Oreochromis niloticus: one gene and its partners. The protein of the gene in region 2 purifies or fractionates together with the protein of the main gene of each other region. This does not show direct contact. Links are inferred from orthologs where the notes say so. Each region holds a gene or a part of one and is shown on either strand. Other genes may lie near its edges. The genes, in order: regulator of telomere elongation helicase 1, slx4, kpna1 and sumo1.

The links.
Region 1: the proteins of slx4 (region 2) and regulator of telomere elongation helicase 1 purify together in Homo sapiens (affinity purification with mass spectrometry; 3 studies listed by BioGRID, with this or other methods). This does not show direct contact. The link is inferred for Oreochromis niloticus from reciprocal best matches to the Homo sapiens genes SLX4 and RTEL1.
Region 3: the proteins of slx4 (region 2) and kpna1 purify together in Homo sapiens (co-immunoprecipitation; 3 studies listed by BioGRID and IntAct, with this or other methods). This does not show direct contact. The link is inferred for Oreochromis niloticus from reciprocal best matches to the Homo sapiens genes SLX4 and KPNA1.
Region 4: the proteins of slx4 (region 2) and sumo1 purify together in Homo sapiens (affinity purification with mass spectrometry; 3 studies listed by BioGRID, with this or other methods). This does not show direct contact. The link is inferred for Oreochromis niloticus from reciprocal best matches to the Homo sapiens genes SLX4 and SUMO1.

The regions. Positions count from the first base shown.
Region 1 is NC_031984.2:36,164,416-36,171,290, reverse strand, and holds the start of regulator of telomere elongation helicase 1, read left to right. Parts: upstream 1-3,858; 5' UTR 3,859-4,142; coding exon 4,143-4,244; intron 4,245-6,875. Other genes in the region: ndufb11 (NADH dehydrogenase [ubiquinone] 1 beta subcomplex subunit 11, mitochondrial), read left to right, coding at 727-856. UniProt on the Homo sapiens protein: A probable ATP-dependent DNA helicase implicated in telomere-length regulation, DNA repair and the maintenance of genomic stability. Acts as an anti-recombinase to counteract toxic recombination and limit crossover during meiosis.
Region 2 is NC_031971.2:30,579,011-30,585,983, forward strand, and holds the start of slx4 (structure-specific endonuclease subunit SLX4), read right to left. Parts: upstream 3,018-6,973; 5' UTR 2,813-3,017; intron 2,565-2,812; 5' UTR 2,522-2,564; coding exon 2,047-2,521; intron 932-2,046; coding exon 724-931; intron 262-723; coding exon 31-261; intron 1-30. UniProt on the Homo sapiens protein: Regulatory subunit that interacts with and increases the activity of different structure-specific endonucleases.
Region 3 is NC_031974.2:18,422,909-18,430,414, reverse strand, and holds the start of kpna1 (importin subunit alpha-5), read right to left. Parts: upstream 3,011-7,506; 5' UTR 2,895-3,010; intron 2,263-2,894; 5' UTR 2,255-2,262; coding exon 2,129-2,254; intron 1,981-2,128; coding exon 1,867-1,980; intron 851-1,866; coding exon 751-850; intron 465-750; coding exon 370-464; intron 187-369; coding exon 55-186; intron 1-54. Other genes in the region: nanos2 (nanos homolog 1), read left to right, coding at 4,216-4,821. UniProt on the Homo sapiens protein: Functions in nuclear protein import as an adapter protein for nuclear receptor KPNB1. Binds specifically and directly to substrates containing either a simple or bipartite NLS motif.
Region 4 is NC_031986.2:20,155,656-20,163,358, reverse strand, and holds the start of sumo1 (small ubiquitin-related modifier 1), read left to right. Parts: upstream 1-4,679; 5' UTR 4,680-4,814; coding exon 4,815-4,826; intron 4,827-5,214; coding exon 5,215-5,289; intron 5,290-7,703. UniProt on the Homo sapiens protein: Ubiquitin-like protein that can be covalently attached to proteins as a monomer or a lysine-linked polymer.

The DNA of each region.
Region 1 (6,875 bases), on a different chromosome or scaffold from region 2:
GTTCTCATGTATTTTATTTTATTTTTGTTAAAAATACAACTGCTTAGATCATCTGTGTTTTTGTCTTGTCTAAACTTGACAAAGTCCTGTGACACTGGACTTTGTCACAGGACTGTAGCTGCTGCTTATCAATATATTAATAAGCAATACTTAGGAGCACAGCAGACGCTAACTGAATATCAAGTTAATAACACTTTATTTTTTTTAAACAGTGACTTGAGATTAAGAAACTTAAATTTTACAGTTGGAATATTTTTAAAATGTAAATACAATGAAAGTATTTGCAAAACTCTTTAGAATTGCCTTATATAGAGGATTTAAAGTATAACATGAGGCTTGCAGACAGCAGCGTTTGTAAGTTAATGTGCGGCTTATGTTCTAGACTCTCACGTGAAGAGAGAGGGTGAGCTCCTAGTTGATGACTGTGGTGGTGAGCTGGATAGGTTGGTGGGGCAGGATGCAAGACGGGCCTGGTGCAACTTAACAACTTCACTTAAACCATGCAAAGAAAAGATCCAAAAATGTACCCTTCAACTCTGAGTCTGATTTAACATGGATGGAGTAGAAAGTTGTCCTGTTGACTAAACAATCACAATTTCATATTCTTTCTGGAATTCATGAAGGTCTAAGTGGAATAATGAAATGTTTACACGTAAACTTGAGTTAATTATTGTTTAATTATAGGTTTCATTCTGGTTTTCTTACTGGTGCATTTTTGTGTTCCAGCATGCGGCAGTGGGCCAGAAGAGAGGCCGAACGTTTGATTCAGCAGCGCGAGGCCGATGGTGTCCCTCTCATAGAGGAGAACTACTATGACACAAACAAAATCATTCTTCCCACAGCTGGAGGACAGTAACATGTCCACTGTCCACTCACTGTAATACCTGATTATTGTATTTCACTGATAAAAATAAAATACGTATGTGTTGAATTTTGTTGTTATTTTTTGTGGACAGTGATAACTTGCAGTGGCATTTTCCTCAAAGCCTTGCTTATGAGCGGATGTCGATTTAGATGTCGGCCAGTCGTGTACCTGTGTTTTTGTAATGGGTTTGTAATGTACTGTAAGTATTGTAAGATGGTGACAAAAATCTTACAGTAGGAGACAATCCTATCCTACCAATCCGAGCCAATAAAAACATAGAATATGTCAACTGTCAGCCTCTTCTATTTAAAAAATACACTGTAACTTCAGACCTTACAAATCACTATGTAACATGCTTTCCTACTTATTTAACCATAATAACTGTGTAGTCATTTGGTGTACTTCTAAGTTACGTGACTTATATAAAGCTCCTAGCCTGATATAATTCTAGAAATGAAAGACAATGAGGGAATATAATAACTACTCTGAAACATTTTTACAAACAAACCACTCATCCTAAAAGACACTATGATTAGAGTAATCACACTACTACACATATTACACAAGTCATAGTTACTGTTGGGACAAAGTACTGTTAACATATACTAATTTTAATAAAAGACCTGAAATAAAACTCAAATAACTTAAAAAAAGTTTTAGATCAAAAAGGATAAATTTTACATCAGTTTCCAAGTTATGTTGTCATTTTATCCTGCGTGTACGCTACTACCTGTTGACTGTATTCATGAAATAGACTAGAACTTACAGCTACACTTTCACAACCTGCACTTTATACAGTTTGTTCACTCCACAGACATGCAGAGTGAACTAACAATGTGAAGCCTTTGTATTTTCCATAAACACTAGCAGAAGTCACAACATAGTATAACATAACAATATTCAGTACAGACAAGTGAATCATATGTAATAGCAAACATTCAAAATGGTTGCAAAAGAGCGATTCTCTCGCTCCTTTAACGTGGACCTAAATTCCCCCATTGTGTATAACACTCCCATGTTTTATTTAAATGTAAGTACTGAGTGTGTAATGCATGCTTTGGATAAATACATTTGACAGCACGGGTAAACCTTTACACAAAGTAGCCGTCTCTCACACATCATAGAGCCGTTGGTATTATGGTTTGTTTTTGATTAGTAAATTATCATAGTGAATTTCATCAGTCTGTTAGTTAAAAGCGGAGTCTGAAATTAAGGTAATAAAAATATGGTGGTCAAGTTTTTGTTTTGTTTTTTTGTGGTTTTTTTGAGATGAGAGAAGATGAAGAGTTCAGCAGATTGGTGAGACACCAAAAGAGCAGAAAGGTGAAGAAGGAGATGTGAGCATCAAAAAGACAAGCAAGAGGGCATGCAATTTAAAACAAGTCACAATAAAAGCAGACGCTATGAAGCCAGGGCTGGTAGAGCGTACCGTCAGCATACTACCTTTCAAATAAATACACTTACGGTAAGTTAATTTATGCTCAGTTTCATAAAAAATACAAGAATTATTGAGGAGGAAAAATAAATGGGGATCTGTATGGGCTGCTTCCAGGCATTGCCAGGCGCATTTTCTATTAACCAGTCTTTTGGACTGGGGCTTGTAATTACTGCTTTTGATACTACTGCTTCAATTTACTATACCCGCATGTGTAAAAGAAAATAATACCCTCTCTGTCATTATTATTTTGCTGTGGATTGTGTAGACTAGACTATCCAATCTCTTAAACACTGGAATCCAAAGGATAGTCAAATAAACATTATATAGATCTATAAATAATTCATAAATAGCTTATTTTAATGATTACTTGAGAGAAAGTGAGAGACAGAGGCTGGTGGGTGAGCTCCATTCACTCCTATCAGCAGAGAGAGCGAGAGCGGCACACTGTGCTGTAAAATTATTAAAACATCTCAATAACAACAACACACCTGCTTTAAGGAGAAAATCAAAACTGTTCTTTAGTTTTGTCTGCTTTCAACAGAAAATGTCATTTGCAGCATTAAGTGACTTCATCCTCACTACAATCAGTTACATATGCGTCCCCATAAAGAATATGTTTATACTATAAAAAGAGCCAATAAAACATATTAATTAATTACAGGCGATCTATTTCTTAACAATTTTCATGACAGATGTGTTTTTCTTTTTCTTTTTCTTATGCAGGTTCACTATTGGTCAGAATTATCCCATGAAAATGTTAACTTTTTTTATAAAGAAGGAAAAAAACGTGCATTCTTTTCATTTAAATGTATATTTTTAAATTAATTAAAATCAAACCAAACGCTATGCCAGCTTCTAGCTTTGCTTGACAGTGTGTAAAACAAACCTGATGACACGAACTCCTAGAAAACTTAAAAGTCAAACAAACACATTCAAAGTTTCAGGGCTGTGAGCAAAATCAGCTGTAAATCAGTGTGGTCGTTACAGTGAACACCGCAGTCTTTTCTCTGTATGCTTTATAAAGCAGCGCGAATGTTAACAGATGGAGAAATTTGCTGAAGCACACCGATCACTATAGTCACAGATGTGTCTTTAACAGTCTCATTATTTTTCTTCTCTTGTTTGTATGAAAACATCTGCTGATCACAATTACTGACAGTCTGAGTAGTAATTAGTAAGTGGCTTTGTTTGGAATTGTGCAGGGCATGTCTGCGTCGTTGTTACACAGAAAGGTATTTTCAAGATGTAGTAATAGCCAAATTGGCCAGTAGATGTCACTGTGGAGATGGGTTTCAGATTGTTTCAAAGCCTCGCTACAATTCCAAGTCATTTGCGGCATTTGTAGGTACAACACCGGCATCGACGCGCGTTTTGTAGTCCATCTTCTGCACGTCGTAGTTTCAGCGTGGCAGACATCAATACTTTGGAGATTGTAAAAAGTCGTTGCGATTCTCAGTGCGCCGCTTTTCTCCTTATGAGTTATCCTACCCATTTGCCCTTACTGACCTGCTCACTTTTTCCATCGAAGACGAGAAAAGTGGTTAGAAAATTAGATAAAAGGTTGATGTTGGAGTGTTCAGGATTCCGTGACCCTTTGAACGCACCAGTCGTCAGCGTCACAGTGCGCATGAGCAAGTTAAGTGAAAGCTGGCGCGAAACAACTATAGTTGGGATTGAGAACTCCTTTCTACTAAGCCTAAACGAGCCAATGATAAAAGTACATTATACCACAGTTCAGCCATTTAAACTGGTCAAACAGAAGAAGTACCTCTCTGGATTTTAAACAACAACAACAACGATTTTCGTCTATGCTGCTGCCGACTGACGCCAGAGGACAGAATGCCTTCACTGACTCTCAGCGGAGTGACTGTAAATTTCCCTTTTTCTCCGTACGAATGTCAGAAGGCATACATGAACAAAGTAATCGAATGTCTTCAGAAGGTAAGAATCGACTGTCATGTGTATGTGTGTTAATGGAAACAAACTGCAAAGGGGCAGTACTGAACAGCCACGGCTATACGGCCACCATGCTCACCGTTTGCCGCATGACAGAAGTGATCTCGCATCTGCTCGCGCAAAACGTCGCTTCCCAGAAAGCACAACGACGTATTGCCGACGTATATCTGCTGTGTCTGTCGGGATAGGCGCTGTTTCATCTTTGGGAACAGGTCGCTTAGTGCTGCTTTGCCTGCGTTTCAGGTGGCCGTGGCATCTACGTATCTTAGCACTGCTTTAGCGACTTCCTACTGCTCTCTGTGCCATATTCATACAGGCTGATCTTCTCACTCAAGTCGTGGTGTAATGTGTGCTTTAAAATACAGCGAGCATTCCTATATTCTACCATAATAGAATATTATGTGTCATGTTTCCCCCTGTTGTGTCGGTACACTAAGCAGGAGTTATAAAGAGTCAGACAGATACACACGTTAGCTGTTTACATTCCGTCTTCTTCTCTTTGTTATCATATACCTGAAGAAGTTACACACACACACACACACATAACATGGCGTGGTGCCCACTACTGGCGATAGCTTTTATAACACACAATATACCTCAGCTCATACATAGCATTATGAATTAAGCAAAAAAAAAAAAAAAAAAGCACTTAGATACTTAGTTCCTTTCTAAAATTCAGTGTAGGCTACTGCAAACATCTGCTCAGGAATGAAAAGTGATCCAGGCACATGTATAACCTCTTTTGAAACCTCAAACGCACTGAAGATGACAGAAAGACGACATATCCTTAATAAAGGAGAAAGTAATGGTTTTGCATGTTGATTTATTTTCAAACATACATTCATGCACTAATATTTCACAGCAAGACTGTGACTGAAGGGAATTCTGATGCAGCACATTTAAAAAGAAAAGGGAAAAAGAGCCAGCTGTATGCAGAATCTATTATTGTTCTGTTATAAATTTGCCACATTTTCAAATTTTGAATGAAATAAATATTTCTTAGCCCACAGCAGAATGAATAAAGGAACAAAGCACTTTAAGGGAAGGGGGGGATAAGTTACTACATGAAATTGTAATCTTCAGTTGGAGTAATCGAGTGCAGCTGAATGCACAGATATCTTTCAGGACTGTACAAATACACAAAATGAATGAATTTTAAACGGCAAGACTTTCCATCTTCTTCTTGTAGAAGAGTATTCATCATCTTCAGGTGTGTGTATTTTGATATGAATTTTACTCCTAAGATTGCAACCATTAAGGGAACTAATTGTAATCAGAGTCCGCAACATTCAACTAAAGAGGTTTCTTCCAGGTGAATGTGTTAATGGAGTTACTCTGTGGTAAAAAACAAAATGCTGGAAAATAATTTATTTTAATGTACTTTGACTTTTATGGTTGAGGAACGCTGGCATGAAATGTGTTATCTGCCCAACATAGCAGCTAAGCAAAGCTTACTAACAGGGTGCCATCCGCAACAGGACATAATCATTAACTAGTGTTAGTAAACTCTCAATAGTTTTCAGACAAACATGTTAATGTGATATGAAAATTCACTTTATTTTATGTAAATGACTGTTCATCTTCTGTGTCTTCTATTTTCAAACTGCTAGCTTCATTCAAAATTCATGCTCTATTTTCAAGACACACTAAATCCCCAGGAGGATTGGCCAGAGAGGGAAAAAGTGTTGGTGAAATGGAGGTAAATGACGTCGGCAATATGTCGCTGTGCTATACTGGATGAAGTGTGATTTATCGAATACATTCCTATGTAATGCCGATGTTGTGGCGATGTGTGCACCACTGGATTTTTGTAACCTCTTCCATTGTGTCGCTACAGTTACAGCTGGGTTGAAGAAATGATTGTACATTCATATTGGTTTTTAATTCAAGTTCAGTTTTATTTATACAGCACCAAATCACAACAACAGTCGCCTCAAGGCGCTTTATATTGTAAGGTAGACCCTACAATAATACAACAGAGAGAATCCCAACAATCATATGACCCCCTATGAGCAAGCACTTTGGCGACAGTGGGAAGGAAAAACTCCCTTTTAACAGGAAGAAACCTCCGGCAGAACCAGGCTCAGGGAGGGGCGGGGCCATCTGCTGCGATTGGTTGGGGTGAGAGAAGGAAGACAGGATAAAGACATGCTGTGGAAGAGAGACAGAGATTAATAATTATTCATAATCTAAGGCAGAGTGCTGAACACCACTCTTCACAGTGAGTGAGAAGGGGTGAGAGACGCCGAAACGCGCAGTGCATCATGGGAAGTTCCCAGCAGCCTAAGCATAACTAAGGATGGATTCAGGATCACCTGACCTAGCCCTGACAAAAAAGGAACCTGACTTTTTGACAGTGGCACCAAAAGGCAGCACACACGATAATGTGTTCCAGAGTGTGTTGTTTCATGTAAACAGGCACTGATTTTCAGCATGCCTCCATAGTAAAAGAGATCGGTGATAAACTGACTTGGTTACAGTCCAGATCTGTTTTAATACTTGATGGGGAAAAAAAGATATGAAACGAGCCTTCACATCATGGGCCTGTCCTTACAATAGCCCCCATGTAAAATTGAGAACTGATTTTAAAATCCGTCTTTTCATGTGTATGAATGA
Region 2 (6,973 bases):
GTTATGCAACAAAGTTATCGTCTGACTTACAGTAAATTAGCAGTGGCAGCACTCTGGGTTTCCTCAGCTTGTCTCTGCAGAGCCTGTATCAGCACAGCTGGGGAGACGTCCATATCTGAAGAACAGCGCTTCAAGTGGACCGAGCGGCTCTTCTGGGACTTGAACTTCTTACCACAGATGGGACAATCAGGAACACCAGAAGGTGGTGGAGGAGGAGGTGGAGGAGCCGCAGGGCCACTCTTTTCACTCTCATCCAAACACCTGTACAGAGAGATTTTTGACAAAAATGAAAAAATATATATATTTTGATAATTCAGAGAGACACTTTAGGTAAAAGTTCATGTATTTGCAAAAAAAAAAAATCAAGCATTTTCTAAAACACAAAAACTGAGGATGATTTTTTTATTTGTGGACTTTATTTGTGGAAAACTCTTATAACCTCAGGATTTCATTATTTTAATCAGATGTTTGTCATTATACTTTATGAAGCTATGACCTGAAAATTAGAAAAGTTATTGTTTTATTTTCCGACAAATCATTTAAATGCAACTTGGTGCACTCACTGAGTGGAATCCTTGAACTCCACATGGAGGTTACTTGTCCAATAAACAGTCTCTTACAGTGCTTTAACAGTGAAGACAGACTTTTTAATGTCATTAAGCCTCCCTGTGTGCCCACTAGTATTTAAAGCTATCGTCTAAAATGCAATCAAAATCCTCAGACCTGTTAAGATGCTGTGTGCGACCCTCTGCTGTCATGTGTGTTAAGTCTCTGTGGCAAATCTGACAGAAGAAAAGCCCTCCATCCTCCAAGTCCACAATCTGGGCCTGCGCTGCCTCTCTGTCCAGCTCCTGCTGCAGCTGCAGAGCAAGAGCCTCATCGTTGTCTTGAGGCTCTGGAGGAAGAGCAGAGCTGAAGGTATCTGGAGTATCTGCGAACAGACCGGAGACAGAGAAATATACGGGTTAAAGTGAGGGATAGCAAGAATAACACAGCAACATTTCAGAAAACAGGATTTCAAATTAAGGAAAAGGTATGGGCCACATTTCCTATTTTTCAGCGATAGAACCCAGTCCCTGGGTAACAGGTTGATAGTAGTTTGTCAAATGTCTACAGTTTATGAAGGTAAATTCTATATGGCCTATACTGAAATATCATGACTCAAATTTAAAGTGTAAAATTCGGAAAAAAGTATGTCTTGGATCAATACAGACACAGAAAACCCTACACAAAATATTACAGTGTTTATAAGGTCTACCATTGTCTTCATATTGTTGTTGCTTTTGCCCTGTTTAGACTGTCAGGCACATTAATACTATCCTTGTGTCATAAATCACCCCGGACACTCACTTTCAAACACTCCACCCTGTCAACTCTGTCTTCTTCACCTCTTTTGTGCACTGCTCATTGCTTTCAATGGCTGAACTCAGGTATTTAAATTCATTCACCATTACTACCTCTACTGTTCACGGTGTACCCTGTCTCTCACCCTATAACAGATGGAAACAGCTTCAACCCCACAAACCTGAATTGGATAAGCATAAGAAAGTAGTTGTATGCTTATTATAGTTAAGTAAAACTGAACTAAAAGCTATAACTTGGTGTGAAAATAACCTTTTAATTATGTAATATAAAAACAAAATCTAGACTAAGTAAAAATAAAATAAGAATGTAAAGCAAATGTCTTTAGATTTTGTCAGTTTGATCAAATTTGTTATTGCAGCCAGTTTGATCAGACTCTTGTGCATCTGTTAATCCAGAGAGCAGAGAGATGTCTCCTTGGCTGGATTTTTATTATTGTTGTCTGTTAATTCTTCCCATTAGATAACAAATGAAAACTGAATCTAATAAAAACCAAAGCTAAACATTTAAAACTACTACATTAGTTTTAACTACATTAAAAACTAACCCACTCTAAACTGCCTGAACCTAAACTGAACACAAACACAACAGAAATATAACTAATGAAAAAACAAAACTGAGCAGGAAAAGAGAGCACATCAAAGTAAGGGATGCAGTAGACTGGAGAGGATCATGTCATCTCACCCTGATTTTTTTGCAGTGTAAAAGGAGTACAGTTGCTCTCGTGGTTTGCTGGTTGGATGTGGGTTTTGTGCACCATCTTCTGTGGACTATCTCTCTTGAACTGCTTCATCCTCAGGAGCACTTTGTCTTTCGCTCTTAGGCCGCTTTGAGGACTTGGCCCTGCTTCCTTTAAAGGCTCAGCTGATGGCCGAGCATCCCCTGACTGATGTCCAACCTCTCCATTGACCACACGCTTTTCTCCTCCACCATCATCGCCAGCACCATCACCAGCAGCAGCAGCAGGCTGGGTCCAAGATAGCCTTTTGATAGAGTTAACAGCTTTTTTGTTATTTCTCCTTCTCTTATCCTCTTCGCTCGCTTGACTGGAGGTCTGCCTCTCTGCTTTCCTCGCCTGTCTGGCTTCACCTGGTTTCTTGCGGACTCGTCTTAGACGCTTCGGGCTGAAATCTTCAAAATCCTGGTCCGAGTCATCCATTATACTGTATTTTTCTTCGCAATAAGAGGCTTTTACGATCACCCTGCAAAAAAGACAACTAGTTTAAGCTGGATCCACTGATGTGAAACGATGGAGGGAAAAAGTTTAATTTGCATGTAAGTAAATTTTGCGCGGGTAATTCTGTATTCAAATAAAAACAGCGATGCTATAATTACATGCACACTGAGACAAATGGAAATAGTTATATGTGGCACAGATGTTTGACAAATCATGCCACAAAAGGTATGGAGTGAAACAGCTAGCCACTTATGCTAGCACCTCTATACTTACCCATATTTGATGAATTAACTGTTTAATTTTCTGCCTCATCGTTTACAGGGGCCGCCGAAGAGTTTATTCTCATTCATTTAAAACTATATGTGGCGCTATAGAGGTTTTTGTTAACTAAAAAGCCTGGAAGAGAGCAAACAGCACTTGTTTTCATTTCAAAGCTACTCCCCAAACCGCTTCATTTAAAACTTCCGGCCATGTGACGGTGAAATGAACGAATAACTGGGTGTTGTCGAGGTCATGTGACTAAGGCGAGCGGCTTTGGGCGAAATCTGTAAATAACAGTTTAATATAATCATTTATAAACGCTTTATTAAAGATTTCCAACACTTTATTAATCGTTTTAAACTAAATAATGATTTTTTTTTAAACCAGTTTAAGACCCAGGCTTGATCAACATGTTCCTTAAAGCAACCACACTGCAGCAACTCAATGAATTTACACATGTTAACATGGTCAAGATGACCTTAAGTTCAAACCATACCACCGCAATGGGAAAGAAAGGTCATTTTAAGTGACTTTGCATGCGGCATGATTGTTAGCGCCAGACGGACTGGTCTGAGTATGTAGAAACTGCGGAGCTACTGAGATTTTCCAAAACAACCATCTCTATGGTTTATAGAGAATGGGCCAAGAAAGAGAAAATATCCAGTTAGTGGTAGTTCTCTGGAACTTGTTGATGTCAGCGGAGGAACGCCAGACTATTCCAGCTGATAGAAGGGCAACAATGACTCAAACAGCTGTTGCAGCCGAGGTATCCAGAAGTGCATCTCCGCACGCATGACACCTTGAAGCAGATTACCTAAAGGAGAAGACCACAAAGCCTACCTGAGCATTGTTGCTGATCATGTCCATCACTTTATGACCACAGTGTAAAGATTTTATCCATTTCGGATGGGTAAGTTCTCTGTACTCAAATAGCCTCCACAGTCACCAGAGTTTTGGGATGTGGTGGAACAAGAAATTCACATTGTGGATGTGCAACCGATAAATCTGCAGCCACTGCGCGACGCTGTCATCAAAATATGGACCTAAATCTCAGAGGAATCTTTGCATTAAGGTAGTTCTGAAGGCACAGGGGTCTAACCAGGTACTAGCAAGGTATGACTTATAAAGTGACTGGTGAGTGGATAGGCTTTTTAAGATTTGATGAATACTGTTAGAATGTGAAGGCATGTAGGAAGCAAGCAAATTCAGAAACATCTTTACTATACACAGAGGAGTTTACAGTTTACTTCTTTGTGTCCAAGTGTATTTCTGTGCCTGGAGTTTACACAGAGGGACAGACACCGACTCAGACATCATAGACTTTTTAAAGAAAAAGACTCCAGTAATACACACTTAAAAGACCTTTCCAAACCTCATGACTTGAATTTGAGACAGGGACTAAATGATGTTACCCGACTGAAAATTTCATTACACTTTCACTTCTTAATGCAATTTTTATATTTTGGAAATTAACATTTCAGATTCTAACTGGCTGCTGCATGAGTGTGACTTCACCAACTGGGCATCACAGCACATTTCCCATAGCCATTCAAATGGCAGAGACTCAGTGCAAGACTTGTGCAATCAAGATGATCTCCAGAAGATCAGAAACATTTGTATGGAGTGCCAAACAAGCTATTTTTTAAGTGAAAGAACCAGAACTCACATTTGTGCTGCTGTGTGGATGTGATTATGCTGCACTGGCAGAAACACAGACAACTGCTAAATCATTACCTGCTCTGATGAGCCTTGATGCTGCCACATTCAGATTGTAAAGTCACATCTGGGACTGAAAAATTAACCCAAACGTGAAGTGCCAAAAATTGTAGTTCCTTCACCGGCCACGAGGCTATCTACACTGCAATAGTGAGCCAGTTCCCCTAAACTCCTATATCAAAACAGCACTCTACAGATTTCTACACTCCTTCATAAGGACTGTTTTTTTAATAACTTACTTTTCTTAAAGTTTATTAACGTCTAAAGTTCTGGGTGTAACCACACACAGCTATATCCGTTAAATTTGCCTCCTCCACTAATGATTACTTTGAGCCACTTAGCTGCACTAGCCTTTTAGGGCGTTAATTTGCACCCACCTGCAATCCACCATTCCACCACTTCTGTTTGCAAAAAAACAAAAGGTGGCAGCCAAAACACAAACCTTAAGGATTCACAAACAAATGGATAAATTCAGTTTCTGCATCTACCTTTTATGTACAGTCTATGCTACATTGTAACAACTCCTGATGCTGATGGTGGATGTCTTATTGGACTGCTTAGCACCAATCACACATCATTTACATGGTACAGCCAACCTGAACTACTGTTTGTTATGTCCATGTCTTTATGACCAATGGCTATTTCAGCAGGTTAATGGACATCATAAAGCTCTTATTATTTGAGACTATTTTCTTCTAAATGACAGTTACTTCAGTGCGCTAAAATGTACTTCACAGGTTTCACAGAGCATTGTGAAGGTGCTGCACAATGCCGTCATGTACCAAATGTCTCTGAGGAATGTTTCCAGCAACTTGTTCAATCTAGAACACCAAAAAATTAGCAAATGTTTACCTGACATAGTGGTTAAAATTAGTATTTTCTGTAATCACACTGGTTCTCACTAGACTTTTTGTAGAGCCTAGCAGGTTACTTATTAATGCTTTGCACTTTGATTGAAAGAAGGGGGTCTTACATTCCTGCTAATAATAAAAGTGCCAATTTTTGCTGACAGTCTGGCTTTGGTGGAAATGCATGAAACCGGTTCTAGTTCAGGCACCAGACTCACATGGGTGGAAAAAAGGCATCTGTCACTTTTTGTAAAGTGCTGCATCGATAAATATCATTTTACTAAACAGAACAATTCAACTCCATCTTTTTAAAAGTTCAGGATGAAGACTAAAGTTGAAATAAATTTTAGGTGACATGAAAACCAAACAGTTGTTGCTGGTAATGTAACACCGGAAACAAATGAATACACACCAACAGGAGGAAGTGATGCCTCATTATTTAGTCAACAGAGTACTGGAGTTCTTCTGTTGCACACAGTTTATTTAACAATATGGTATATAAGTAAGAAATGAGTCTTTTACCAGTTTATACAGTGATTTCATTCGCTCTTCCTTATATCTATAGTATTTTGTTTAATAACTTGATTTACAATAGGAGAAAAAGTAAATCCCCCCAATTCAAGTTTTTTTTGTGAGAGGAATGAGGGTTGATGACATTTAGTTCTCCTCCAGGTGAATCTCAAATGTGCCCTTCATCCCCTGATAGCACACAACTTAGTGTAAAATTTGGAGAACTGGGCATCATCCGAGACATTGCCTACAAACAACCACTGATCATTCCACCTCAGCTTAGGGGGCTGGTCTCTTTCTCGCACTCTCTTTACACTTTACAACATTTGTATGACAAAAAAGTATGACAAATTCTTTTTAATGTCAAAGCAACAACTTTCTACACCTGCAAGACAACGTTTCCAAATTCCAGGCCACTGAGTTGTAGGCTGCAGTCCTTATTGGTGAACCAATCAGCTGTATTTCTCTTAAGCCGCGTATCCACCCAAAAGTACCCGGAAGTCGTAGTCACAGAAATTTTTGTTTCCAAGGAAATAAAGTTTAAAGGCCCGTGAACATTAAGCAAAACGAAAAAAAAAAAAGAAAAAAAAATCCGCTGACATATCAAAAAGAGATGACTGCTTTCACACCCTGGAGTTGGTGGTAAAGACGGGTACTCCAATCAGAAATGTTCAGCGCTTCAAACCCAGGGACTTTTTTTTTGGTGGGGGTTAAATAATTACCCCAAACGTAACTGAAAGTATGGTCCCTAGTCCCTGGTAAAAGTTCCTGTGGTGGAAACGCGGCTTTAGTGACTGTGAGGGTTTGTGTCAGTGTCTTCATGTGTTCCTGCATACATGCCTGTTTACACAAACTGCTGCAGGCCATTTCCTACTTTAATACAAATGAGTGCTCTTCATACACACAAAAAGAATGGGAGCGGTCACTGTCCCTGAACGCATCTTCTTGCAGTAATAGTACAACACTAGATTACAATTGCCAGGAATGACAGCTTGTGAAGATAACAAAAACCTGGCCCAATTCCGAGACAAAATATTTTACAGTTTCCAAAGAAAAAAGAAAAAAAAGAAAACAATTCTCAAAGGTACAAAATAAAGAT
Region 3 (7,506 bases), on a different chromosome or scaffold from region 2:
CAAGCTGCCAGAGGTCAGTGAACACCAGGAAAGGTAAAAATGAAGCCTCCTCACCTGTTCCTGTACGTCCTCAAAATCCGAGCTGAGCATCTCTATGAATATGGGCACAGCTCCTGCCTGGATTACCACCCGTGTCTGGTGAGATGTACCTGAAGCAATGTTGGTCAATACCCACGCAGCCTCAAACTACAATCATATTCAAAACATATGAAGAAAGTTAGTGCACTGAACTCACAACACATGCAACCTTTCAGATATGATGGTGAAACAGGAAGAACACGTTGCAAACAAACATGAGGGAGAAAAAACAAAAACAAAAATCTACAAGCTTCAAATAAAATCTAATATTAGTTTTCTAGGAAAACGTACCTGCAATGTGCAGTTTTCTCTTCTTTTCAGGAACTCAACAAAGCGCTCCACCACCCCTGGAGTGGCAATGACTTCATCAATAGGTGGGTTGGGTTCTGCGTGTGAGGTGACGTGGCAACAATTAATACAGGCATACTTAACAGCATTACACCCCATGTAACATTCACTCCGGCCACTCTGATATTGTGTAGTTATGAATTTTAGCAGGAATGCTTTGGCAGCGGTAAACTGTGAGATAGAGTGGCAGATTATGCAGCTCAAAAAAATGCTTTTGTCCTTGCATTGGGCCTCAATCAGTTATCATCTTTCCCTTGTAAGACATACTGAAACAAATACAAAGACAGGAGTGGCTGTAATGGGCAAAGCTAGGGCCCCACTTACCTTTAGAAAGTAGTTTCCTAAAGCGCTGAGTACCTATTAGCTGCTGCTCAGGAGAGCTGGAGAAAATCATCTGAATCATGTCTTCAGAGATCACCCCACCCTGTGTGGCACAACAATGGGGATTTTATATAACACATATGAATTGCTGTAACAGCTGACTTGATGTGTGCAGTGAGTGATGACATCTCATATGCCTGGATATCAGGAATCTTCTTGGTACAATGAGTTTTGTCAGTTGACGAAACTCGGGGGGGGGGGGGGGGGGGGGGGGGGTAACCACACTTTTGAATGTTTCATTTTCATTTTTGCCACTTGGAGCAGGGAGTCTGCTCAGTGGTGCTGAGAAAGCTGTAGCTCACTCCTCACATGTGCAATAACACTAAGTGCAATAATCTTCCTGGCATCGTTGTATTTTTTACTCAGTTGTATATAGCATTTGTATTCTATTTTTATCTTATTGTATATTTTATTCTATTTTATTCTACTGTATATAGTATTTTATTTTATTCTATTCTGTACAGTTGTGTACTGTATTTATTCTTATTTTATTTTATTCTAATTTTTGCTTCATAACTTTTGCACTGTCCACTTCCTGCTGTGACAAAACAAATTTCCCACATGTGGGACTAATAAAGGTTATCTTATCTTATCTTATCTTATCTTAAACATGCTTAGAGACAGTGCCCTAACTGATTAGAACTAAATGCATCACAGAGGAATTTATGCAAATTACAGTTACTAACATGCTTACAGACAGTGCCCTAACTGATTAGAACTAAATGCATCACAGAGGAATTTATGCAAATTACAGTTTGTGTGCTAAAATGTAACTTTGCATACAACATTGTGGTCTGGTGAGGCGAGAAACACACTGCACTGTGTACGAAAGATTCAACATGCTATTTGTGTGGTTTGCTATGTGTCAATGTCACTGCATACATTAAAATTTGTGTTGTTTTGAACATGACACAGAAAAGCTCCTCTACAGCCTCCATGAGTTTTACAGAAAAATGACCCAAGTAATCATTTAGACATAAAACCAACATGTTTAGATGCCATCTGATTACCAGAAAGGCGTGTATGTGTGACAGAGCAGACATATGAATGCCTTCTCACCATGAGTGGGTCCATGTTGTTGGCCTGGGACTCCAGATAGCCGCTATCAGCCATCCCATCCTCGTCCAGGGTGCCATCATCCTCCACAGTGGCGACATTTCTCCTCTTAAAAAGCTGCAACAGAAGTACAAATAGGCATTTCCCTTCCAACACTAAATTGCTGCAAACAAAGCATGGCCTCAAGTTTACTCCAAACACTGGCAGTATGTAATTTCAGGATCATTATGACGGTTTTAGTTGTACAGTATAACACATTGCTTACTTGCTCATCCTTCTTCTGTTTACGGAGCTGCAGGCCTTCCTCTTCCCTCCTCCTTCTCATCTCATCTGTGTTGAGAGACTTATTCTTGTAGCTTTTGAGGCGTGCATTGTCCTTGCCCTGACTCATTGTGCAGCCTGAGAAGAGTCAGAAGTCTATTATTTGGATATGCTTTGGAGCAAATCTTTCAAAGTTCCCAAATGAGAAACAACAAACCCTCCTGTTTTTTTTTCATATTTTTTTTTATTAAACACCACCAACTGTACTGCAAAGACTAGCAAGACAGACACCAACTAACGTAGCCAACGCTGGCATAGCTACCGGTGTGCATCATTCCTCTCAAAAAAGATTGTTCAACAAACAGGGTCATGTAAGGATAGCAGCTAGCCTATTAGCTTCCCGTGCCTTGATGCTGCGTGAAAAGAAAGCATCATTTTACCACCTACTGATCGGGGTCCAGTACTTCCGTTGTCAACTCACAACTCGGACAAGCACAAGGAAAACCCAAAAGCACAAGTCCCCCGGGAGGGTACACTTGGTCAGCTGGCTAATGTCAACGCCGCTCTTAGCCTCCTCTACTATCGAAAGCTAGCTGGCAGCCAGCGGCTAACTGCTGTAGCTAACGTTAGCTTAGTACCAAAATCCATTACATTAACTTTAGCGCAAACGACAGACCACCGTCTGAGACAGTAAGAATTCATTTAACTTCTCATTATGAATCGCTGCCACACATACACAGCTAAAATGTAAACGTTTTTCGTTATCTAACCTGTCAGATTGGGCTCCGTAATCCCCTTATTCGCTAGGCCACCGTTTGAACAGCCGTCGCCGGTATACTAGTGCGCATGCGTCCAACTAAACGCAAACGACCCACAACTCCCCCGCACGTATCTAAGCTCCGCCCCCTCCTACGCCTCTTTTTCCCCCCCTCTTCTTTTTGCTTTGTAAATTAACAGAAATGCGACGTTTGCTTCATAAACAGTTTGACAAACAAGCGGTGGCTGCAGGGTTACATTCATGGTATAACCGGCATACACACAGCCTCACTACGTGTGTGATTGTGCAGGAAATACAACTGTGCGCTCTTCGAAAATCCATCTATCCATTTATCCTCATCACTCACCTCTATGTATGTGCTCTCTATAAGTGCAGGTGCGGCTCTTGGATGCGACACTTCTCTAATGTAGTCTAGACGCTCCGGCGCCAGGGGTCATCGGGGGACACACACACAAACAACAAGTAACACAACATGGACCATCATCATCCTCAGACACACACACGGCCCACGAGCATCAGCACCATCAGATACGAGCACATTAGAAGTACGAATAATAATAAAACTGTAAACAAGTGACAAAATAAGAAAAGAAAGGGAAAAAAGAAAAAAAACGCAAATACATGCAAAACTAAGGGAAAGAAGAGAGATTTGAACTTAACAGATTAAATCACATAATTCACTTTGAATTTAATCTATCTATCTATCTATCTATCTATCTATCTATCTATCTTCATACAATTAAACACTGTGTGCGCGCGCGTGTTTGTGTGTGAGAGAAAGAGCGAGAGGGGATGAGAGGATAAAGGCCAACGCACTGCGACAGAAAAAAAGAAATGCATGAACTTTGCGTGACCCAACTATACCAAAACAGTTCACCTATTACGAGCCTTTAAAGTAAGCTTATTGTTAAATAGTCTTGATACATATTCAATCATCCAGGTAAGGTAATCCCAGAAAGTTGATTCTGTTCACCTGGACGTAGCGTTTTCAGTGCTAAATAGTCTCCACATCCCGGCTCTTATTATTTATTTTGCTGCGTTATTTTGCGAAATTATCTAATCTAAACATAAACTACAAAAAATGAATGCGATGCAATATTTTGCTCTTGGTGTTTTCAGTCCTTTATGTCCAGCTTATGCGTCATTTTTCTGTTATCAATCAACCAACCGATCATTCGATTAAAGGCCTGTCAACTGGCTTCGTAAAGGTTCTTAAGAGGTCCTAAGGTCACCAGAAAGCTACATAAAAGACTGCACCTGCACCAAAGTTCTTTTTTCTCTCTCTCTGCCTCCAAAAAACGTCGTCAGGCTGCATGCAATCTATAGGATCCAAACATTGTTACATTTTAAAACCAACTTCAGTGAGCTATAAATATGAGGCGCTCCAAACACACCCTCCCTTTGACTTCTGCCAAAAAATGACCACAATGCCGAGACGACTGGAGGTCCAGAGCTCGATCCTCCCCGGTGGGGACTGCTTTAACATGTGGCAGGACTACATGAATCTGAGCCAAGTGTTCGAGAGACTGTGCAGCAACCGTGAGGTTGAAAACCGAGACACCGAGCGTCCAAAGAAGGGACAAGCGCCCCCCTGGAGTAAGGTCCACACTTCCACTCGGGGGAAGAAATCCTCCAAAAACTCATCGCAGTCCAGTCCGACCAGCAGCGCGTCGGACACCAGCAGCAGCGCGTCATCCTCGGACTACTGCCGCTTCTGCAAGCAGAACGGGGAGACTCCGAGGGTGTACCGATCTCACAAGCTCAAATCAGACGACGGGAAAGTTTTCTGCCCCATCCTCCGGAACTACACCTGCCCTATCTGCGAAGCCACCGGTGACAGCGCTCACACACGCAGGTACTGCCCGCAGATGAAGTGGGAGGCGGCTGGGAGGATGGAGACAGGGGCCAAGTTCTGGTAGCTGTTGAAAACTGCGAGAAACTGTACATATTTACCGAACTGTTTGGGGTATGTGTTCATGTTGGCAGAGACCGTTTCAGTTCCAAAGACTGTTTCATGTTTGACTGTCAAACACTCCGCTACAATCTGCAGCAAGGAGCCCTCATCCATCACATCTGGAGCCACGAGCCGGAGCGCTCTCGCTCGCCAGTACGCGCAGGCTCAACGGGAGAAAACTGCGCCAGCTTTGGGGGTGTCCCAAGTTCTGGTAGCTGCTGAAAACTGAAGCTGAGAGAAACTGTACATATTTACCGAACTGTTTGGGGTGTGTGTTCATGTTAGCAGAGACCGTTTCAGTTCCAAAAACTGTTTCATGTTTGACTGTCAAACACTCCGCTGCAGTCTGCAGCAAGGAGCCCTCATCCATCACATCTGTGGAGCCCCGAGCCGGGGTGAGCGCTCTCAAACCTTGGAAAAAATTAAAGTCTTTAAAGTCCTCCAGTGTTGTTGTTGTTTAATATGATACAAAAAAGAATAAGTGAAATGAAGTGAAGTCACTCTATCAGCATTAGCGAGTTTATAGTAATTTAAAAAACAAACCAACAGCATAAAAATGTAAATTCTGGGAAAAATATCTAAAAAAAAAAAAAAAGCTTTCCTCTTATTGATTATGAACTTTTCGGTTTGTTTGCAGCCATCACATACACGTTTTTCTCTTAACATATAAAACATAAAAATATCACAAAGCAGTGTTCAAACTAATTCAAGTGATGTTTATGGGATTTCATAACTCAGGAGTCGTGGTGTTCATAAAAGAGCAACGTGCTTTGATCGGGCAATAAACCGCCTCTGCAGAACTGGTGCATAAACACGGGGCCCTTTTAAAGAGAGAAATATCTTATATCACTAGATTATTCAACTACATTGCCGCTTTAATGGGCTGTTCAAAGGGTGCAGGGGGTAGGAGGTCATTTTGAGGTATTTCATAGGTCACAAGTGAAACACTAAAGTGGCTAACCTTTCTGTGGAATTACAGAGATTTCTAAAAATGTGCCCTTAGTGTCAGTACATTGTTAATGAAAAAGAATAAGATAAAAGACACATGCAGCCAAAGGCGAATTTAGAGCCCTTTCTTTTGGTTAAAATGAAAATGCTATATTATCCCTCATGTCAGACAGGTTATTCTACAAAAACATCAGTAGTTTGTCTGTTTTTGGTATTATAGGAAATTTGAACTCTCAACTCTTCCAGCTGAAGTTACAGATGTAACTGAACTCACCAGAGAACATGTGTCATAAAAAATAATTAAATTAAATTAAAAGTAAAACTTCAAGGCAATAATGAAACGATTGTGTGAAGTGAGAAACTGAATTAAAGTTCAATAGTTTTAGTTTCAAAATAGATGGAAATACAGGATTTAAGGTCAAAACAGAGTTTTTACAATTCTAATGAGCGTCAAAGTCATAATTTAGAATGATCACCTTCATGCTTGAGTTTTCTTTGAAGAATAGGCGGTCACTCCTCTTAGGGGTTTGCTGTTATGTTTGGACACAACACTGGTTCAGCCCTTGTGTTACGTACTTTCAAAAAAATGCTTAAGTGAATCATATGTCAAAGCTAAGTGGCTTAACAAACAACAAAAGAGTCGTTTGAAAATGTTCAGGTACAAGAACTGGACTGAAAATGAATGAAAAAGCAGCCAATGTCCAGAAAAAAACTTATATATTAAGCTTATAAAATACAACAAAGTCTGGCTCCATGAAAGGGAAATATTAAGAAATGAGTGGTCACTCAAGACGCTTGCACAGTGGTGTATATCAAGACAAATACTTTAACATACATTTAAATATGCATTATAAAGCCTACATTTCTAAATATAAGCTTATCTGAATACAATTCCAGAACATAAATCTGAACATTGAGTGTTACACAGTATATTGCAGGCTTTGAATAATATGTGAACAAACTTTTCCATAAAAACTGTAAACCCCCCCCCCACAACAAACGGCCTTTAAATATGACATTACATACATATTTACTGGAAACCTTTTCTGATTGGTTTAAAAAAAATATGCAAATGTGGAAATGAGAATATCACAATAACTATAAACTAATTTGTGCATGTGCAAAAAGACAAAGAGTAGTAAAATAAACAGCTGAATGTATGTTTTGGATGTTATCTTTCTAAAAGAAGACATGGTCATGAGCTGATCATGTAAAAAAAAACTTGCCTGTGGCGTCCCGACTTATATCGCCTGTTTTTTTCCTTAAGAATCCATAAAAAAAACAATGTTGGATATTAATTTCCAAATGGAAATGTATGGAAAAAGTGCAGTAAACCTACTTCCACTGTCTTTAAATAATCCACAGATGTATAAAAATATGTCCTAAAGAACAGAACTTTGTATACTACGGATATCTTTTGTTGGATCACGTGATTCAAATAAGAAACGAAACAGCTGAAAGAAACGAAAATTGACCAAACAGGTGATCACAAACTCTTAACTCAGTGCAGCTGTTTACATGTGTTTCTAGTAAAGTCTTGCTCTGATGCAGGGTGTGTGGCCTTCTGTGTATTCCCATGTGCCTGATCATACATCTATGACCTTCTGTTTTCACGTGCACTCCAGCTCTATAGAACCCTAGCTGATTTATTTGGCCTGTCAGTCATTAACAAACATATCACTGACTCTTCTCATTTACCTGT
Region 4 (7,703 bases), on a different chromosome or scaffold from region 2:
TTTAAATAAAGTAAATATAAATTTAAATCTTTTGCTTCTGCGGATTTGCTTCTTTCATTTTAGTTTAGTTTTTTATTATTTTTAGTATTAGTTTGGAGGTTTCTTTGTTATGTAATGGGTGCTATTTGTTGGTATTGTCAGGTAATGGTGGTATTTACTGCTATTATTATAATTAACACCTGAGGCTGACGTGTTGCTGAAACTGGACTAAACTGAAAAAGAGTAAATTTGAAGCAATTGATATTTTAATTCTGTTTAAATTAGTTTTGCAAATGCATAATATGATTTTAATTTTTTTTTCTTTCCTATACAGCTCTAGGTTGTTTATTTTTTTAAATAAAATTTAACAAAATGTTTAATGTATTATAAAAGTATTTTGTTATATATCCACATCACCAGCATTTAAAAGGCCAATAACTTGATGTCACTAATGGACTGATCAATATGTATTGTATTGATCTGTATTTATAATTTAAAATGTGAATTTTAATTTTAATTAAAAGCCAAACTCTTTAATCAACTTGTCTGGGTGCTTAAAAATAATGTGAAACATATATAGGGGCAGTTTAGACCAAGCACAAATGGAAATTCTGATATCACTCAGGTGAGACAAAACTGATTTTAAAAACCTCAAACTCCAAATAAGCCAGTGTTTATCTAGTTTATATTCATTCTTATTAGCCAGATAAAATGAATTTGTTAATAAAAAAAACAAAAAACAAACATATTTTAGAGCTTTAAAATGATCCTGCAATAAAACACAGTGTCATTGTGTGTGTGTGTGTGTGTCTGTGTGTGCGTGTGTGTCTGTGTGTCTGTGTGTGTGTGTGTGTGTGTGTGTGTGTGTGTGTGTGTGTGTGTGTGTGTGTCACATCCTGACATTATCAAAATTTAAAAAACAAAAACAGCCCTATGTTTTCTGCAATGTGCCTACAACTTGTATGATATGGAAAGGGCCCCATTATAATACATTTCTCCATCTAAGAGTTTCTATATTATATTTTAGTGTCAGTTTTGTTCATGTTGTCTAAGTTTATTATTGCATTTAGACCCAGTGTTATCTAGATTGTGGTTTATGGTTTTGGTCTTTGGATTGTTACACCCAGCTTGATAAAAGTCAAATACAGAGACTGCAAGCATTCCTTCCATAAAAATATAAACATTGTTCTTTAAAAAACATAAAACGTCTGTACTCTGTGCTGCATATTCACCACATTATTAGTCCGTTTTCAAAAAAAAAGTTTTTTCTGTGCTATAAAAGTACACTGAAAAGGGGGAAGAGTCCATAAAAAAGTACAATGTACCATTTTAAAATAAAGGAATTTTCCATTTAAATGTTTTATAGATATTTTTCCATACTTTTTAAATAAATACCGGGTTTAATTATTTACCGTGTCCATAAACTTGCATTTACTATCAGCAAAGATTTATATCACACTCTAATGGTCAAACATTACATTATACATATATTATATTGTAAAATAGTCTGCCTTGGTGACCAGTCGGGCAGATGGCCGACCCTCCCTCAATCTGCTTGTGTTGGAAGTTCATTTCCTATTAAAAGGCAGTTCTTCCTCCCCACTGTCACCAAGTGCTTGCTCATACGGGGCTGTCTGATATGGGGGGTTTCACTCAGTGTTGTAACAATTTGTAGATTTAGAATAATCAAAACATTTTCGAAACAACACTTTTGGCTGTGCCTTTATTTTCCCAAGGGTGTGCCACAGCCGATAGATGTGCAAAAGTTGTTGCCTTGGCACAGAGTTCACACCAGATGTCCTTACTGACACAACCCTCCCATTTATCCAGGCTTGGGACCAGCACGTACACTAAGGACACTGAGTGGAGACTGAGTTTGTGTCTCCACCCTCTCAAATTTTTTGACCACTACACCACAGAGCCACTTGTTGTAAAAATAACCTGTTATGGGGAAATTCAAATTTATGAAGTTACAAAAATTTATATAGTTCTTCATGTGATATGTTATAATCAGTGTTGGGTAAGTTACTTTAAATTAGTAACTTAGTTACATTACTAGTTACTTCTATCAAAAGTAACTCAGTTACTTCAAGTTACTCGTTACTTTCAGAGTAACTAGTTACTAGGGAAAGTAACTTTGGTTTTACTCAGAATTCTCTTGTTAATGTGTTGCTTCCGTAACTGGATACCCAGCCAGACTGCCAGTCTTCTAGCTTGCTTACTTGCCACAAGTGCACTGTGCCACCTACCAATAGAAAGGAAAAAATAATGTGCACATTTCCACGAGAGAAATCCCACGCCTGGACCGTCGTTGACCGCCGCCATGATTCTAGCCTGCTTTTTACATCCAACACAAAAACTGCAGTCGTGGTGCTTTTGATTGTACTCAGAACTTGGAAATTCTGCCTTCTGAATAGGAAGATGTAGGTAACACCAGACTGCAGATGAGCTGCATACAGAGCTGGACTGGGACAAAAAAATCGTCCCGGGCATTTTGACTAGAGACCGGCCCACCATTATAGGAAAAATCATAAAGCCTTTGAATGAAAATAAACACTGTTGTGACAGTGATGTACACTGTTCTGATGGTATATATGTATCAATCTATCAATTGTTTGTTGTAAGACTCAGATAATTATTTTTTTAAAAGCGAGACATTTTAAATGAGAATAATAAAGAAAACTATTTCCTTGTGTCCCCCTTTCCCTGTTAATGCCCTACCTGGCCCCCTGGCAACACTTTGCTAGACCCGCCCCTGCACAGTTACCAGCTGTCAGCTACTTAGAAAAGGATCCTGGTGTTATTTGTCTCTCAGAAACAGTTCATAACTTCCCTTCAACTCGTTCATGTCACCTAAAAGGTAAACCTGTTTCTCCATCACCTGTTCAGCTCTGATGATTCAGTAAGGACATCTCCTGGTTTCATCTGCATGTTTCCCTCTCACCAGATAACCAAACCGATATCATGACCAGCAGCTTTACAGCTGTGGCTCCAGCAAACATCAGCTGATACTAGAAATTAATATTAAATAAATTCTAACAACAGCTGATCAAGCTTAAACGTGCTGCTGTTGTTTAACGCGACATCCGCTGGTTTCCTCTTTCTGGCGCAAAGTGGGCGATAAATAAACAAGAGAGAAAAGCCGATCAGCTGATCATTGATCAGTTTCGTGATTGAAGTAGAAACGGGAGAGAATGAGAGAAGAAGAGGCAGCTGTGCAGCTTCAGCTTTGTGTCTTTTTCATTGTAGCTGAAGTCCGGGACAAACTGTGTTCCTTTTCACCTCAGTACGAAACGCGTAATATTTTCTCTGAATACCAGACGATTCTGTTTTTTAGGGGACGGTTGGAAACTCTAATAATTAACCGTATGAACAAAATAAAGTTCAACATCAGTAACATAGCACCCACACAGCTGTATAGAAACTCCGTCATGCTAGCTAGCACGCAGTACGAAAATGTCAGCATACCGAAAATAAACTCCACCTAAACTTGGTTTATATCTGACTCAGATAGACTGCAGGTCATAACTTCTTACCTGAAGTTCAGTTCACCTGACACGCGGACCGGCGGCCGCTTCGGGTCTCTCCTCTTGCCTCCCTTTTCCTTCATCCACCTGCTGGCTTCCACCACTTGCTAATGTTATTGAATCTGTGGAAGCTCCGATAGCCACCACACGAAGTAACGAGTAACGAGCCTATCTAAATCCCAGTAACGAGTAACGCGTTCCTGGTTTTGGCATAATAACTAGTTACCGTGCTCGTTACCACAATAATAACGTAGTTACTGTAACGCGTTACTTAATAACGCGTTAGTCCCAACACTGGTTATAATACAGCTGTCCAATATGTGGACCTTTGCTGGCTTTATCTTGGTCAGCCTTCTTGGACAGAAAAACCATAGCCTGGCCTCATAACAACAGGCCACAGTTTCAGGGTCACAAACCTGCGCTACATATGGCTTTTTTTTTCTTTTTTCTTTTTTTACCCATCTCCGATGGCTTCCTCTTCTTTTAAAATAACAACAAAACACTATATAAATGTGATCAGTGGATATTCATTTTTGGAACTTTATTCAGCACTAGTGTAAGGAACTCTTCATATTCTATGATTGTAAAAATGTGCAGCCTGTTCGCTGAATTCTCAAGCCTTGGGTCTTCTCAGCTAACAATTCAAGATCCATAAGGTTAAAGAAAGAAAAATGGTAACTAAGTATGTGGACAAATTTGGCTTCTTTCACTTCCAGCAAGGTTTATCTACATCTGTACTTTAGTCAAAATTACATCAAAACTGGCATTTAAAAAAAAAAAATTTTTTTGTTTAAATTGAAATTAAAATTATTTTTTTTCTTTTGTAAAAGTAGCCTATGTCAAATTTTATATATTTGTAAAATCACAAGTAGGGCTCAAAGTGGTTTGCAGAGCATTTTACTGGATATTTTGTACCACAATTATTCAGTTTATTTGGTAATAAAGAAGATAGGAATACATTTTAATCATTTACACCTATTAGTAACATTGATACAAGGTAATTTATATGTAATAGGCTTTATTGTAGGGCTCAAGTGTGTTTTTTGTTGTTGTTTTGTTTTTGGTTTTTTTACAGTCAAAATAGGGTAAAATTAGCTCTTTTGAGAGTAAAGATTAGCGACCCCAACTATATTTTTCAAAATTAAACGATCATGTCTGTGCTTCACTTTGGAGAGACTCTTATTTTTGAAAGAAGCAACCCCATGCGTCAATTCCGGTTGTCGAATAACATCAACCCGGAGCTGCGCCTGTGAGCTAACGCTTCATCTATTGTCAGTGTATTTTCCTCGGCACACACAGAGAAAAAGCATGTCAGATACGGTAAGAAATGCGCTCCGAAGGCTCTGTGTTGTTTTATCACCAGCAGAAAACGGAAAAAGGCTGCTTGCTGTTTATTTATGCCCGCTGCCTCGTATCGAGTTATCTAATATGCTAGCTGTTAGCTCGTGTAGCTTCGGGCCTGAAGTCACAGCTTATTTAGCCGCTAGCGGCTAGCTCTGGTTTCTTATTTAAAGTTCTGCTGTGGAGCAATGGTTGTTGGCAGTAATACGAAACAGAAACTGTTACAAAACAGAGTGACATGGTTTTCCAAAGCAGTGACACTCGGGTGTCGGCCCGGCTTGGAATTAAATAAATATTTATATATATGAGTGTGTGTGTCGTGCTTGGAGGTGTTTTGTTTATTTACGGTTTGTTTGTTTATTTTTAGGAGACAAAACCATCCAGCCAAGACGGAGGGGATAAAAAAGATGGAGAGTACATCAAATTAAAAGTGATTGGTCAGGTGTGTATGTGTTAGATGATATTAATGATGCTTTCTTACATATTTTTAGTGTTATTTTTGTTATATTTTCTTTTTGTACCAGTGTCAGTGTAGAGTCAGCTCCAGGGAGGAGGGAGAGACTGTTAGAGTAAAGGCTGTCACTTTACACTGTCTTATCAGACATAACCAGTTTTTTTTGTTATCAAAATCCTGCTACACTCCATGACCAAACATTTGCATATTTGCATTCGTAGGATTCTTATACTTTAATAAGTAAATAAAGTGTACATAAACTGAAACTACAGATCCACAACCATAAATCTACTCAGTGGCTCTTTTAACAAAAATATAATATTTGGCTTTATCTTGATTGATGCTGCAATATCTCAAAGGTGGTGGTCCTTTAAGTTGGTTCCTTTATTACGAAGCAAGTTTGACATACATGGGGGGTGTCTTTCTGTTTTATTCACTTACCCTTAGAACCTGACTGATTTATCAGCAAATTGAGGTTATCGGCTATTATTGGCTATTTATTATCTTTTGGTATCGCTGTGTTTAACGAGTGATAAGGCAAAGTTTAAAAGCAAACGAGAGATGGGGGAAACAATCTTCAACCATGTTTTAAGGGTTGTTACAACATAGTTTTATAGTTAGGCAGAGCATTAATGAGACAATATACTATTGTAAACAATGTGGAAGCATTACGCAGAAAACAGACAAATTTAAATGCAGACTGTGCAAAGACATGACAGCACTTGCAGTGCATGAGGATTTAAAATGCCGGCACCCTGGAGCTGTGACCTCAACTCTTGACTGGGACAGTTTTAGGGACCTAAGTTAGTGTGTCGCATTGTTACCTTGTTTATGTTAGTGTTTGTACACTAATATTTATGTTAGCTTACCTGTTGGAAACTTCTTAGGGTGATGCTAGCTAAGCAAACATGTTTTGTTAGCCAATGAGTGAAATGCGATAGTAAACCTTTAAACAGGAGTAGCTACACTGTCTCCTAGTTTGTCTTTTTTCTTCTCACATTAATATTAGTGTTTATTCTGAATAGTCAGGGGTGCACAAAAGTGGTCCGCAGGTGCACATTCACTGTCAAAATAAAAGACGCGCACCAGATAAGAAGTTGCAACGCGCGTTTGCGTACATATAAAAGGCACTGTTTTTGTCCGCTAGAGTGGGATTTTCACAGCATATTCTGCACCACATCTCTGTGCGTTCATCATTTGTTTGAAGCCAGCTCACCTCCTTCAACCACTTTTCCAAGAATACGCGCTTCTTTTGCGATTCGGACTCCTGACATTTCTTTGGAGGTGGAGGAACACCAAAGTAATTGCTTAAAGGAGCTTGCTTCTTCGACATCTTTAAGAGTTCTAAACAAATGTCTGTCCTCCAGAAAATCATATGTACGCAAACGCGCGTTGCAACGTCTTATCTGGTGCGCGTCTTTTATTTTGACAGCGAGTGCGCACCTGCGGACCACTTACGTGCACCCCTGTGAATAGTAAACCTCTCCCACCTAATGTTAGGTAGTTAATTTGTGGTTTTGCCCATATCAGTAATTAATTATGTATATAGTCAAACAGTTTAACTGGCATTGAGCACGTATAGATGAGCTTGTTTATGTGAACAAATGTTTCCTGGGTCATTATTTTAATTTGCTGTGGGACAAGACAGCAGGGTGATATTCACAGGTGGGCAGGCTTGAGCAGCTGAAGTACTGGAGCCTAGAACAGGAGGTTTGCCCAAAGGAAGTGGAGATAAGAGTTATTAAAATAGTCATTGATCAACTGACTAATCAAAGAAAAATTGGCAGATTAGTTGTCTACCAAAATAGTCCTTTAGTTGCAGCCCTACGATATACACCTGTATGTCACAAACGTCAGGGAAATCTGTTTCTCTGTTGTGTTTCTGAAAGGGAAAACAGACTTTGAGTTGATAAAACCAGAGCTGTGATAAATAATTGATGCCATGCTTTTTCTTAGATATTCAGCGCTCGCACGCAGAAAGTGCTTGAGATGAAAACAAAACAAAACATGACTTTCCTGAAAAAGTTATATGGTAACACATGGCATTTGGTTGCTGAGGAACAGGGGGAAGTTGTGGGAGTGATGGTGCTGAAAAAGAAAACGGCAAGTTGAGAGATTTGAGATATTTAGCGTGTTTGTAGTGAACCGTTAGTGTGTAGTGTCGAAGTTTTTATGTTTGTTTTGCTTTGTGTGGCATTAACAAAACAAAAAAGACCACTGAATGTCACAGATGCTGGCCACAAAGCCATCAAAGATGGTCTGCCATGCACCTTGAGATGTGACCCCTCACAGTAACCCCTGCCCTTCTCCATATACGCATGAGGCAAATTTCTGAAATTGACCTTATATGTAGGACAGTCCAGTATGTCTGGAATGGTGAATGTGCGCTGCTTTGTTTGGCT